3 linked regions of the Arabidopsis thaliana genome follow. The protein of the gene in region 2 interacts with the protein of the main gene of each other region in a pairwise test. Each region holds a gene or a part of one and is shown on either strand. Other genes may lie near its edges.

Region 1 (3,756 bases), 4.0 Mb from region 2:
TTTGCTTCACAAAGAAAAAGAAGAGTTTTAATTTGATTAGTTTGTCTAAACAACTCCTCATCTTCAGGCAAAATCGGTTGGCCTATCTCCATTCTCTTCTCTAACACCCAACCCACAATTAAATTTTAGCAAAAAAATATATAAATAATATAAAAATCATTACATATTTTATATACATATATATAGATGACCTGCATTGAGAAAACCCTTTCAAGATTTGGTGGATCATTCAAGAAACACACATATTCAAACTTCTCCAAAGAAAAGAAAATAGCAAAAACTAGAATGAAGAAGACAATGGAGGATCCAAGCAAGATCATGAGAAGGTCAATTCACACTTTCCTCCAAAACTACCACCGTGTCACCACCGCAGCCGCCGTGGCCCTCCCTTTCTCCGCCGGTCTCCTCCTCTCTCAGCCTTTCTTCTCTTCTTCCTCTTCCACCCTTCACATGAGGCTTAACATGCTCTTCCGCGGAGCGGGTTTCTCTTCTTCTCATGACTTCTTCAACATCTTAAGCCTTAAACTCTCACAAACCCTATCTTCCTCTTTATTCACTCTTCCTTTCTCCCTCACATTCCTCCTTTTATCCAAAGCTTACGTCATCAAACTTCTATCAAACAATCACTCTGCAGATTCCTCCTCTGTTTTCTACCTCCGGCTTCTCAAAACTTACGTTTGCAACTTCTTCTTCCTTCTCTCTGCAAACGCCTCTGCTTTTGCTCTGTTTTTCTTAGCATACAATACCCTTGAAGCCTTTGGATTCTCTTCAAGAAACTTCTACACTTTCCTCTCCCTATCCTCAGCAATCATCTACTCAATTATCATCGCAAACGCCTTTGTCATCTCTAATCTAGCCTTGGTTTCATCACCTTCTTCTTCCTCGGGAGGATACACAAACATCCTCAAGGCGTGTCTTCTGATTCGCGGAAGAAATTCAACAGCAATGGCTCTTGCTCTGCCTACCAATCTCGGCTTAGCAGGAGTCGAAGCCTTGTTTCAGTACCGAGTCATGAGATCTTATTACAATGGAGACAGAGATATCATATCCATAGCTCTTGAAGGAACCTTCATAGCTTACTTATACGCTCTCTTCTTGGTTCTTGACACCATAGTCAACTTCCTCTTTTACCAGAGCTGCATCAAAAACGAGGAAGATCAAAATATCGGTAGAGAAGACGAGTATTCAATCAAGATCCAAATCAGCGAAACAGAGAACACAAAGATACACATCAAAGGATCAAAGAACTTGCAAGAAATCTTGTGACTCTCTTGTGTTGGTTGATGTAATTATTACTTATACAAAAAAAGTGAAAAACTTTATGAGATTATTGATTCTTTAAGGATAATCTCAAGTAGCTTTCACTTCAAAGAAGAGCAAAGGTACACACACAGTAAAGAACAATCACAGGATCTGCAAAACTTTTTCTTCTTCCTCTGTTTCTGCTTTTCTTTATTTTAGTCTCTTTTTTTTCCACATTGTAAAGTCAAATATACCAGAAATTTTAATTAATGCAAATCTTGGAATTCACATTTGGTTAATCCTACAGTATAATTTCATTGCCGACAAAATATATTAATTAGCAATGATTTTGATTACTTCCTTAAGTTATGAAGATGTTGACTAGATTCACACTTTAACAAGAGTGAAGAGTCTTTTGTTTTTGAGCAAGGATAAGTTCAAGCAAAATCTTTCATTACAAAGAGAGAAGAAGAAATGTCACAATTATCTTTAAATAGACGGTAGAGGCGAAAGCAATTGAACTTTTTGTATTTTTCGTTGAATGAAAATCCTAATAATACATTGAAATTGTGTTAATGATAAAAGCTCAACTTAAAAAGACAAAAAATGGCTAGTGGGTGGTCTACATCACTAATCTCTCTACTTGAACCTCTTTAACAAAAAGCCCTTTAATACAATAGTTCAGTACTACCTAAAATTTCTTCTAATGGAGAAATTATGAATGAATCTAATTTACTTTTATAGGTTAAAAAGAGTGGAATCCGGAAATGTTGCATCTAAAGAGATCAAGAAACAATTAAGCACAAAAAGATGAATTTTATAACAAGCAAAATTTTGTAGCTTTCCAAACATACAAAACAATGTAATCATTCATGGTCCATATTTAGGAATTAGGATCAAGGGTTTATAATCCCAGGTCCGACCGACCGAATCGTATAATCTGGTCCTATCAAACCAAAATTAAAACATTTAAACCGGATTTTTGGTTGAACCGGCCGGTTCATGGGTTAAGCGAAACCTCTAGGGTTTTAATATTTCCAGAGTTGGTTGAGAGCTTCTTCTTACTTTTACTTTTCCTCTGCTCGTAGACAGCTTTGTGCTTGAGACGATTCCCAGTTTCTGCGATTCCAAGTCGAAGATATAACCTCTCCTATTTGCGTCTCAGCTTCTACAGAGCTTTTAGGTAAGCTCCTCTGCTTGTATGATTCCTTTTAATTTTCAAAATTCACTGCTTTCTCTTGCGTATCTGCTCAAAGTCTCTCCCTTTTTCATTTAATCGTTTCTCTTCCTGAAACATTCGAACTCATAAACTAGTTTGATTCAAAAGTTTTCTTGCTTTAAACTTGTGTTAGCTCTAGAATGTTGTTCTTTGTAATCTGTTTGTGACATTGTGGTGGAGATGATGAATGTTAAAGTAAAAGGTCTGAGCAGGTTATGAGTAAAGTGTGTGGCTTTTGATGTTTAATTTAGTTACGAGGAGTCAATCTTTGAACTTTATAGGAGAGGGCCCTTGTCCATGTCTTGAGCCATGGCATCTGTGGCTCCGCAACCTCTCCAACAATGAACCTGATTTGTGTGTGCAATCTGATGGGTCGATTTTTAAAGGCTTGGGGTTGCTTTCTATCATTGATTGTCAATCTAGAATTCTCCCTATATACATTTGTCTCCTTGTGCTTCCTTATCACCAATTAGCTACCCTCGTGATTCTGCACTGATCAAAGACCCTTTGACTGATCCACGTGAGCTGTTTTTATGAGATTATCTATAGGTCTCTGTTTTTTTTTTTTTTTTTTTTTTTTTTTTTTTTTTTTATGTTTGAAGCTTTTGACAAAGCTTGTTTGATGGTATGGTTACCTCATTGTTGCTCTATATTTGGTCCTTCTTTATTTGTTTCAATATTTTTATTGCTTAATCCACTGTATAATAGTTTCTCCTTCCTCAATTGAGTTAGTTTTTCGTGATTGCAGCATTAAAAGTTGTTAAAATGGCTGGGGGGTCAAAGAGGTCTAAAAGAGCAAGACTTGACAGTGAATCGGAAGACATAAGCGACCAAGAAAACCTTAAGGTATGTTTATGTTGCTTTTGTCTCGTTTAAGTTATTTAGATGGTATAGGTGAATTTATTTGGTTGAGGGTTCTCTATATTATAGGCCGAAAGCGACAATGAAGATGATCAATTACCTGATGGGATAGAGGATGATGAAGTAGATAGCATGGAAGATGATGAGGGAGAGAGTGAGGAAGACGATGAAGGAGATACCGAGGAAGATGATGAAGGAGATAGCGAGGAAGATGATGAAGGAGAGAACAAGGAAGACGAGGATGGAGAAAGCGAGGACTTTGAAGATGGAAATGATAAAGAGAGTGAGAGTGGCGATGAAGGTAATGATGACAATAAAGATGCTCAGATGGAAGAGCTTGAGAAAGAGGTCAAGGAGCTTCGTTCACAAGAGCAGTAAGATTTCATTTGAACTAATCATTTTTAAATACTGTTATTTCTAAGATAGTGAATTCT
Region 2 (3,756 bases):
TGATCATAATGTAGAAGAGAAGAAAGAGGTTATTTATGAAAAGATTCCATCCAAAGATGATGTTAAAGAGGTGAAGGAAGAAGTAGTTGTGAACAAACAAGAAGAGGACAATCATCATCAAGATGTTGTGGAGAAACAAGAGGAGGAAAATAAAGAGGTTGTGAAGAAGCAAGAGGAGGAAAATCATGATGATGATGTGGTCGTCATCAATGTTAAGAAGGAAGGAGATGATGGTAAGAATCATGATGTTGATGAAGGGAGTATCAACAACTTTGATGAGAGAATGATTGGTCCTGGATCTCCAAGCTTTAGGGTTTATTGCGTCGATGTTCCTTCTGATGATGATGATGAAGGTAAATCATATGTTCTTATACAAACACACATATATACATGTATAAATCATTTACTATTTGTATTTGTATATGGATGCATGCATTGTTAGAGACATATATATGTTTATATATGAAATGCTTGTTATATTATGTAGTTTCGTTATTGAAACAATTTATCCATTCACTATTGCAGAAAAAGATGTAGAAGACGCGAGAAAGTCGATGGAAACCGAAAGCGTCACGACAGAGATAAAAGAGGTGGTCAATCACATTAATTCACATTATTGATTATTTGATCTATGAGGATCTCTAACAATGATATATTTGTATTTCTATAGGACGGAAGCATTGTCAAAAAGGAGAAAAAAGAAAGAAGAGGAAAGAGGTTCGGAATCGCATTGCCGAGGAAGTATTTAGCAAATGTGACTGCGCCGTGCTATGCAGGTGGAGGATGCATGGGAAACACTCATTCTCGTTTGGTGCAAGAGAAATCGAGCCAGTGATCGATCAAAATATGTTTGCCATCTTTGCATTGACTGATTTGTTGAAGTAAGAATGGTGTGGTGTACGTACGGGATCACGATGAATAATCAAAACCACCTTACGATTTTAGACCTTTGATTTGTTTTAAGAGACGCTTGTTTCAGAATTTGTACAACCTCTTCTTCTTCACCTTTGCTTTCTTTGATCAGGATAATTAAGTTAGTGTTTGACGAATTTACTTTTTTCCACGTGGAAAGATGTAATTAATTGAACTTGTGCAATAAAAAAAGTGTTGTCTAAATGTCAAATTTATTGTTACATTAACCAATGAAAATAAAATTAGAGTAACATATAGGAAACTGCAATTATAGAAGAAAAAACACACTAAAAGGTGTAAGTAATTGAACTTTGTGAATTCCGTTTGTTTTCGGAATGCACAAGTGTTAGTCATAATAGGAAAGATAAAAATCTTAATTACAAATCCTAAAATACAATTTTTAATTTATTTTTTAGAGTTTATATTAATATGTCGTCAAAAACGGTATATTATTCAGAACAAAATTATCGTTGACCATTAGTTAATTAATAACCAAGTTCAAATTTGATAATTTGAAAGTTTATTTAGACAAAATTAATTAGTTGAAAGTTTTATCAATGATGGCCTCTTAAATTTTTAACTTTTTTTTGTTGAGTTTTATAAAAAAGAAAAAATGGTTTTCAAACTAAATTTGTTTATGATCATGTTTATCCGAGTTAAGCCCAATTTGAGATCTTTGTCAGTAATGACTAAGAGTACCTCCCGCATATAGAATTCATGTAGTTTCTAAAACATATATATATTTTTTTAACTTTTAAATATATATATTTTTTTAATTGTATGAGTTTCTACTAAAAAATTACTATTGAAGTTGGTCTAAGTTGCGAGACCAAATTTTTATATGCTTTCGGTTCGAATTGACATTTCTCTGTGTAAACGAAGCATCAATAAGAATTTATCAAACTTGAATGTAACACCATTTCTTTAGTTGATCATTTCCAAACATTTATTAATCAAATAAAATTGAATTTCAAAGTCACGTGATAATGATGATACTCAAATTTAAAAAACCAATAACACTTTATTTCAACATTTCTATGAAGAAATCAATTATTAACACTTAAAGTTATTAATTGAATAACAACGAACAACATTTAATTTAGTCAAAATTAGATTTTTTTTTTCTTTTTTTTGGTTTTATTGTTAAGATTTTATACCAAATAAAATTTTACAAACGAATCTAAAAGAAAGAACAAATTTAAACTTACCTATCAGAATTGTTGTAAGATATTTGGGTTTTCTTCGTATTAGGTTTCATCAGATCCAGACTCAAAAAATGGAGTCACCGCACTCGAATTTGCTCCCTGAAGTCGATTCTTTACCCGATGGATTCGTCGACGGCGCAACAGAGCCGCCTCTCAATTCTCCCAAGACCCAGGAAGAAACAACAAACCATGAAACTGTTGCGATCGAGAAAACAGAGAAGCCAAGAACTTTTCCGGTTCCGTTGTGTGAAACTGATGGTAATGAAGATGACGAAGTAGCTGACCTAATTCAAGAATCAATCAAGCTTGAGTTAGAGTTCGAGCAGAAAGAAAAAGAAGCTTCTCCTCCTATTTCTCAAACATGTGAGTGAAAATGTGAAGCTTAATTTCTTTATAGGAATTTGCTTCTTTTGTAACCTAAAGTTTGTTTCTTTGCTTTTTGTTTGAGTTAGTGTCAGAAGGGTCAACTCAAAATTCAACCTTGTCTAAGGAAATGGATTCACTCAAACCCAAAAAACAAGTCAGTATTTTGATGAGTTCTTCAATCTTGTTGCTTTGAGAAGAATATATGTTGAAGATGATGTATCTGATTTGTGTGCTGATGATATTGAAAGCAGGAGGTGGTTGAGAGCAAGCGTAAGGGTTCAAAGAATATGTTCAAATCAGAGAAAGAGTTTTTGGAATTTATGCTCAAGTATCAGCAAGTCCTTTCTGAAAGAGATTCTGGTAATAGGATATCAATAAAACCAAACTAGTTTTGTGTTACCTTCATCGTTTAATGCTTTATAGTCTGTACTCATCATTATTGTTTTTAACCGTAGCTATTACTGTTCGTGACAAGCTTGAATCACTTTGTAGAGAGTTACAACGTCAGAACAAAATGTTAATGGTTTGTTCTTTCTTTCTTCTTGCTTACTCTACTTGGTGTGTCTTGTTTTGAGGAACTAACCTTTTGGTGTGTAAACTAAATGTTCCTTTGTATAACAGGAAGAATGCAAGAGGGTTTCAACTGAGGGACAGACTTTAAGATCGGATTTATCGACAAAGTTCCAGGATGCTATAATGGTAAGTTGAACACATTTTTCTTTCGATGTGAATTCTTCCCAGGGTTTTGATCTTTGCTGAATATAGAAATTTGAGCCATTTTGCCGTCGGTATTGGCAGTTTTAGAGAGGAACAAGTATTGGATAATAGCTTTGTTTTGTGTTTCTAAGTATGCAAATCTTAAATGCACATCATTTATTGATCCTTGTTATATTTTCTTAGGATATTATCTCCTTTAATCTTCCGTGCTATATGCTTTGGACAGTCATGGCAATATCTTTTTCTTCTTTCTGAAACTCTCTACACTGACATTGGCAAATGTTAGTACCGATCTACACTAAAATTTAGTCCTTGGAAATAATTGGAACTAAACAAAGTAGAAAATTGTCCATATTGGTTTCAAGTTACAGATTGATAGAACTAAGTTTGATGAATTGCTTGCAGGCTTTTGCAACATCAAAAACTTACAAAAACAAAATCAGAATTTATTTGATTGATTTTTTTCTTATGCTCTCTACCTTCCTAATCCTCTTTTGTTTATAGGATGTGAGCATTAAGTTGGACGAGCAAAAGAATGAAAGCCTCACGCAACTCA
Region 3 (3,756 bases), about 13 Mb from region 2:
ACCATCAATCACCTCCAAAATCCTACGAATCTCCGACGACCCTTTTCCTTCTTCACCATCCAAAACCCGCCGGAGCTCCTTCTTCAGCCGCTCCACGGCGGCGTATTTATCTTCGAACTCAAACTTCGCCTCCGTAAGCTTCATTTGAACTCTCTCTTCCCTCAAAACATCAGCTATATGCATCATCTCTCTCTCTTTCTCCATCTCCTTCTTATCATCTCCGATTCCTTTAGTTAGCTCATCACAAACCTCTTCAAGAACATCTTTAGCTCTCTTCTCTCTTTTCATCTCCTCCTTCATCTTCCTCTCTGTTTCTTTAGCCTCCGTGAGCTCTCTCCCTAATCTTCTATTCATCTTCTCTGTTCTTCGCCGGAGTTTTCTCTCAACCATCGCCTCTTCTTGTAGACTCTCTATCAACCTCCGCTTCTCCTCTTCCTCTTCATCTAATTCACTCATTAGATGCTTTAGTGAAGATCTTGCTCTGTCTAGTTCACATAACAAAGCAGAGATCAAACGATTGCTTGCTGTCTTGTGATCATCTCCGAGCTCACCGATCCTTTTTAATACCTTTACCAGTTCTTTAGACGTTGTTAATCCGTCACTGACATTCTTGAAACGAGTTTTCACCTGTAATATAATTAAGAATCAGACCTTTCTTCTTCCGCAAGAAAAGTGTTTTTAGGGTAAGATTGCAAATCATACCGAGTTTGCGCCAATGATTTTGTATTCAATTGGGTTTAATTTCTGAGGATTTGTTGATCTTCTACGAATCATATCGTCACAGAGATCGATTCTCTGTGCAATTTTGATTTTTCAGACTTAGAATTTCAGAAAGAAAAAAAACACAGAGGAAACTTGAAACTGAAGCAAACCCTAACCTCTGAGCTTAGACGAGAAATCGGATCGGATGATCGTGGCGGGAAATCAATGGAAGAGAACTCTGTTGATTTCTTCGCTCTGTATCTCGATGGTTTCTTGCTTCTCAAGCAATCTTTATCAGAATTTACCGGAGGGTCTGCGTCGTCGTTGATTTCCCACAGCGTCGCAGCTAGCTTTCTCGCCGACACGCAGCTTTTCTGCAATTGATGATGATCTATAGGAAGATTTTCCGGCGAAAACGATAACAGAACTGGAGTTTTAGCGGCGGTGATGGACTTAACAGGAGTTCCTGAGCCACCGTCGTCTTGAGCGGCTCTTTTCCCGGCGAAAATTGCACGTTTGAAGCGGTTTCGACGAGCAAGTGAAGAAGAAGAAGAGGAAGAACCACCTCTCTTCCTGATCTTACAACCTTTCTTCCGTTGTTCCATAGTTGATATTCAAAACAACAAATCAGAACACAAAATTTTACCAAATCTTGCCGGAAAACAAGAGAAAAAAATAGGATTGAAATTGGTGCTTTTTAGGAGAAGTGAGTCATCTTCTAAGATCAGAAGCAGTTTCTGGAAGATTTTGTTTTTGAATCTCTAAATAGACTTTAAAGTGAGTGAAAGAGAAAGATAATACAAAAAGTGAAAGTTAAGATGATGTTTTTACTTCTTCTTAAAAGCAAAAGAAGAGAAGAGTAATAAGATTCTTGATCCCTTTGAAGACGTTGTGATTTGTGAAAAAGAAGTTTTGAATCTGGGAAATTGTGTTTTATTTTCTTGGGAGAAGAGAGATGTTGAAGAAGAGGAAAGAAAGATGGAGACAGTGTGGTGTTTTTGTGTTTGTGCGTTGTCTATTTGGGCAATGTAAATTTTCTTTGGAGGGTTCATGAACCGATGTTGTCCAATTTCGTCATTAATTTTAACAAAAATAATTTCATAATCAATGAGTACAAATATTGTTGCCGCTAACTCATTAATGCAACAATGACTTGCAAAAAGATATCATGGAATCCATGTTTCCAAATTAGTGCTTTCTAAAGAGTTTAGAATCTTTAGACCACAAGTTAACCTGGTTTGATCGGATTAGACAGGATTCTATTAAGTTTTTGTAGGCTTTTCTGGAGAAGAAAAAAAGAAGAGCATCAAATAAAGACAACGTACTAGATTATCAAAACTAGCATTAACCTCTATGCTAACGTCAAAAGCTAACATGTGTTTTCTAGAACTTGCCAAAAGTCGAACAGAACACGGGTTTAGGTCACAATTTAACCTCGTTTGATCGGATTAAGACCCGACTCATTTCGTTTTTGATTAGTATTTTTTTTTTGGGAAATAATATGAACGTCAAAAGAGTTAAAGACAACGTACTACGTACTACTATAAAGTAGCATTGTTTTCAACAAACATGAATATGGGTGACATATTTTGAAATAAATGAATATGCATAGACAAGGCAAGATACATGAGCCAAGAAAGTATACTCCTTTTTTCTTATGTTTTAGGAAAAAAAATTGTATTGAATTAGATGATGTTTTTTTATTTTTAATGCAAAATTGATTAGTTTTTATTGATTTTGACGATTTATATCATGCAGATTGTTCAATTATGATTGAATAGTGTTTAGAAAGATAATATATAGTATTTTTGTTTAAATGCGAATATTTGTTATACACAATCCAAAAACACAAACAGAAATATAATTATTATAAATCATTTTCGTTTAGGATTGAATAGTTCTTCATTTTATGTTTTAGGATTGTGTTTATAAACTTATGGCTTTTGTCTAGAGAGGTAGGTATTAAGATCAATACACTAAAATTTTACAGACAGTTGTTATAAGTTATTGGAATTGTCGCACATCGAAACTTTGACAATTTTGACACTAATATATATAGTAGATGTTCAATCATTGCTAAAAATCTCTCATTAAACAATCATAGTTACACAATGAATACATGGTTTTAGATTTTTGGATTCATAAAAAAAAATATTGCTGCTCTAAAACATATAGGATTTTTTGAATGTAAATCAGACATAAAATTTCCTAGATGCCTTAACGATTACTACTATCCAATCATAATTCACAACTCAAAACCAATGATTGTCTCTATACTAATTTGAACACAAGTTTTGTGATTGGCATATGAATTATGAAAGACAGGCACATGCTGAGTACAAATAATAGTAAATACTTATGGAACATCCCAAAGAGATAGATGCCTTCTCTGCCAGTCAAATCAAATCCATCCTCCAGATTCTTTTAACTCCATTACAAATAATTTAACATATTACTAATTTAAAAATAAATTAATACGAGTAAAAAAGAATTTTAAAATGTGTGAAGACTAGAGAAGTGCCACGATGATAGAAGAAAAATACAACATAGATGAACGGTTCAGATTAAAAAGAGTTCTAGTCTGTTTCTCTTTTATTCCTTTGAGTCTTTGACTACTACTCACATATCACATGGAGAATTTGACAAAAATGTCATATCACTATACTTTTATTCAATATACTAACTACTCTTGCAGCAGCAATCTAAACTCTACTTTAAAAACGACGTTCTTTTTTGTCAAATAAGCTAAACTAAAAAAATATCGTTTACAATATACAATACATACTATGGGTAATTACATACATTCAATACGGGTAGATACGGACATTTTGAACTAGCAAATCGGTTTTAACATTAGCATTACAAAACAAACATAGGAAACAAAAGAAGATGACAAAAATTTCTAACTCTTCTCTACGTCTTCATAATATATCACAAATGTAGACCACATTTACACCTAATCGGAATAGTCTGCACTAAAATTAATTTAGTTTTCTTTTCTGAAATCAAAATTCAAACTTCTCATTGTCCAAACTAGTGTTTCCACATTTTTCC

Evidence for each region.
Region 1: the proteins of AT5G50840 (region 2) and AT5G61330 interact in a two-hybrid assay, tested with the Arabidopsis thaliana proteins (one large-scale study listed by BioGRID).
Region 3: the proteins of AT5G50840 (region 2) and AT5G22310 interact in a two-hybrid assay, tested with the Arabidopsis thaliana proteins (one large-scale study listed by BioGRID).

Annotation. Positions count from the first base shown.
Region 1 is NC_003076.8:24,659,574-24,663,329, reverse strand, and holds the start of AT5G61330 (rRNA processing protein-like protein), read left to right. Parts: upstream 1-2,088; 5' UTR 2,089-2,994; coding exon 2,995-3,010; intron 3,011-3,098; exon of another isoform or gene 3,099-3,209; coding exon 3,210-3,307; intron 3,308-3,391; coding exon 3,392-3,696; intron 3,697-3,756. Other genes in the region: AT5G61340 (uncharacterized protein), read left to right, coding at 187-1,266.
Region 2 is NC_003076.8:20,683,715-20,687,470, forward strand, and holds the start of AT5G50840 (alpha-taxilin-like protein), read left to right. Parts: upstream 1-2,103; 5' UTR 2,104-2,188; coding exon 2,189-2,480; intron 2,481-2,569; coding exon 2,570-2,637; intron 2,638-2,731; coding exon 2,732-2,843; intron 2,844-2,938; coding exon 2,939-3,006; intron 3,007-3,104; coding exon 3,105-3,182; intron 3,183-3,704; coding exon 3,705-3,756. Other genes in the region: AT5G50830 (nuclear polyadenylated RNA-binding protein), read left to right, coding at 1-353, 526-593, 671-835.
Region 3 is NC_003076.8:7,384,039-7,387,794, forward strand, and holds the start of AT5G22310 (trichohyalin-like protein), read right to left. Parts: upstream 1,796-3,756; 5' UTR 1,308-1,795; coding exon 879-1,307; intron 796-878; coding exon 703-795; intron 628-702; coding exon 1-627.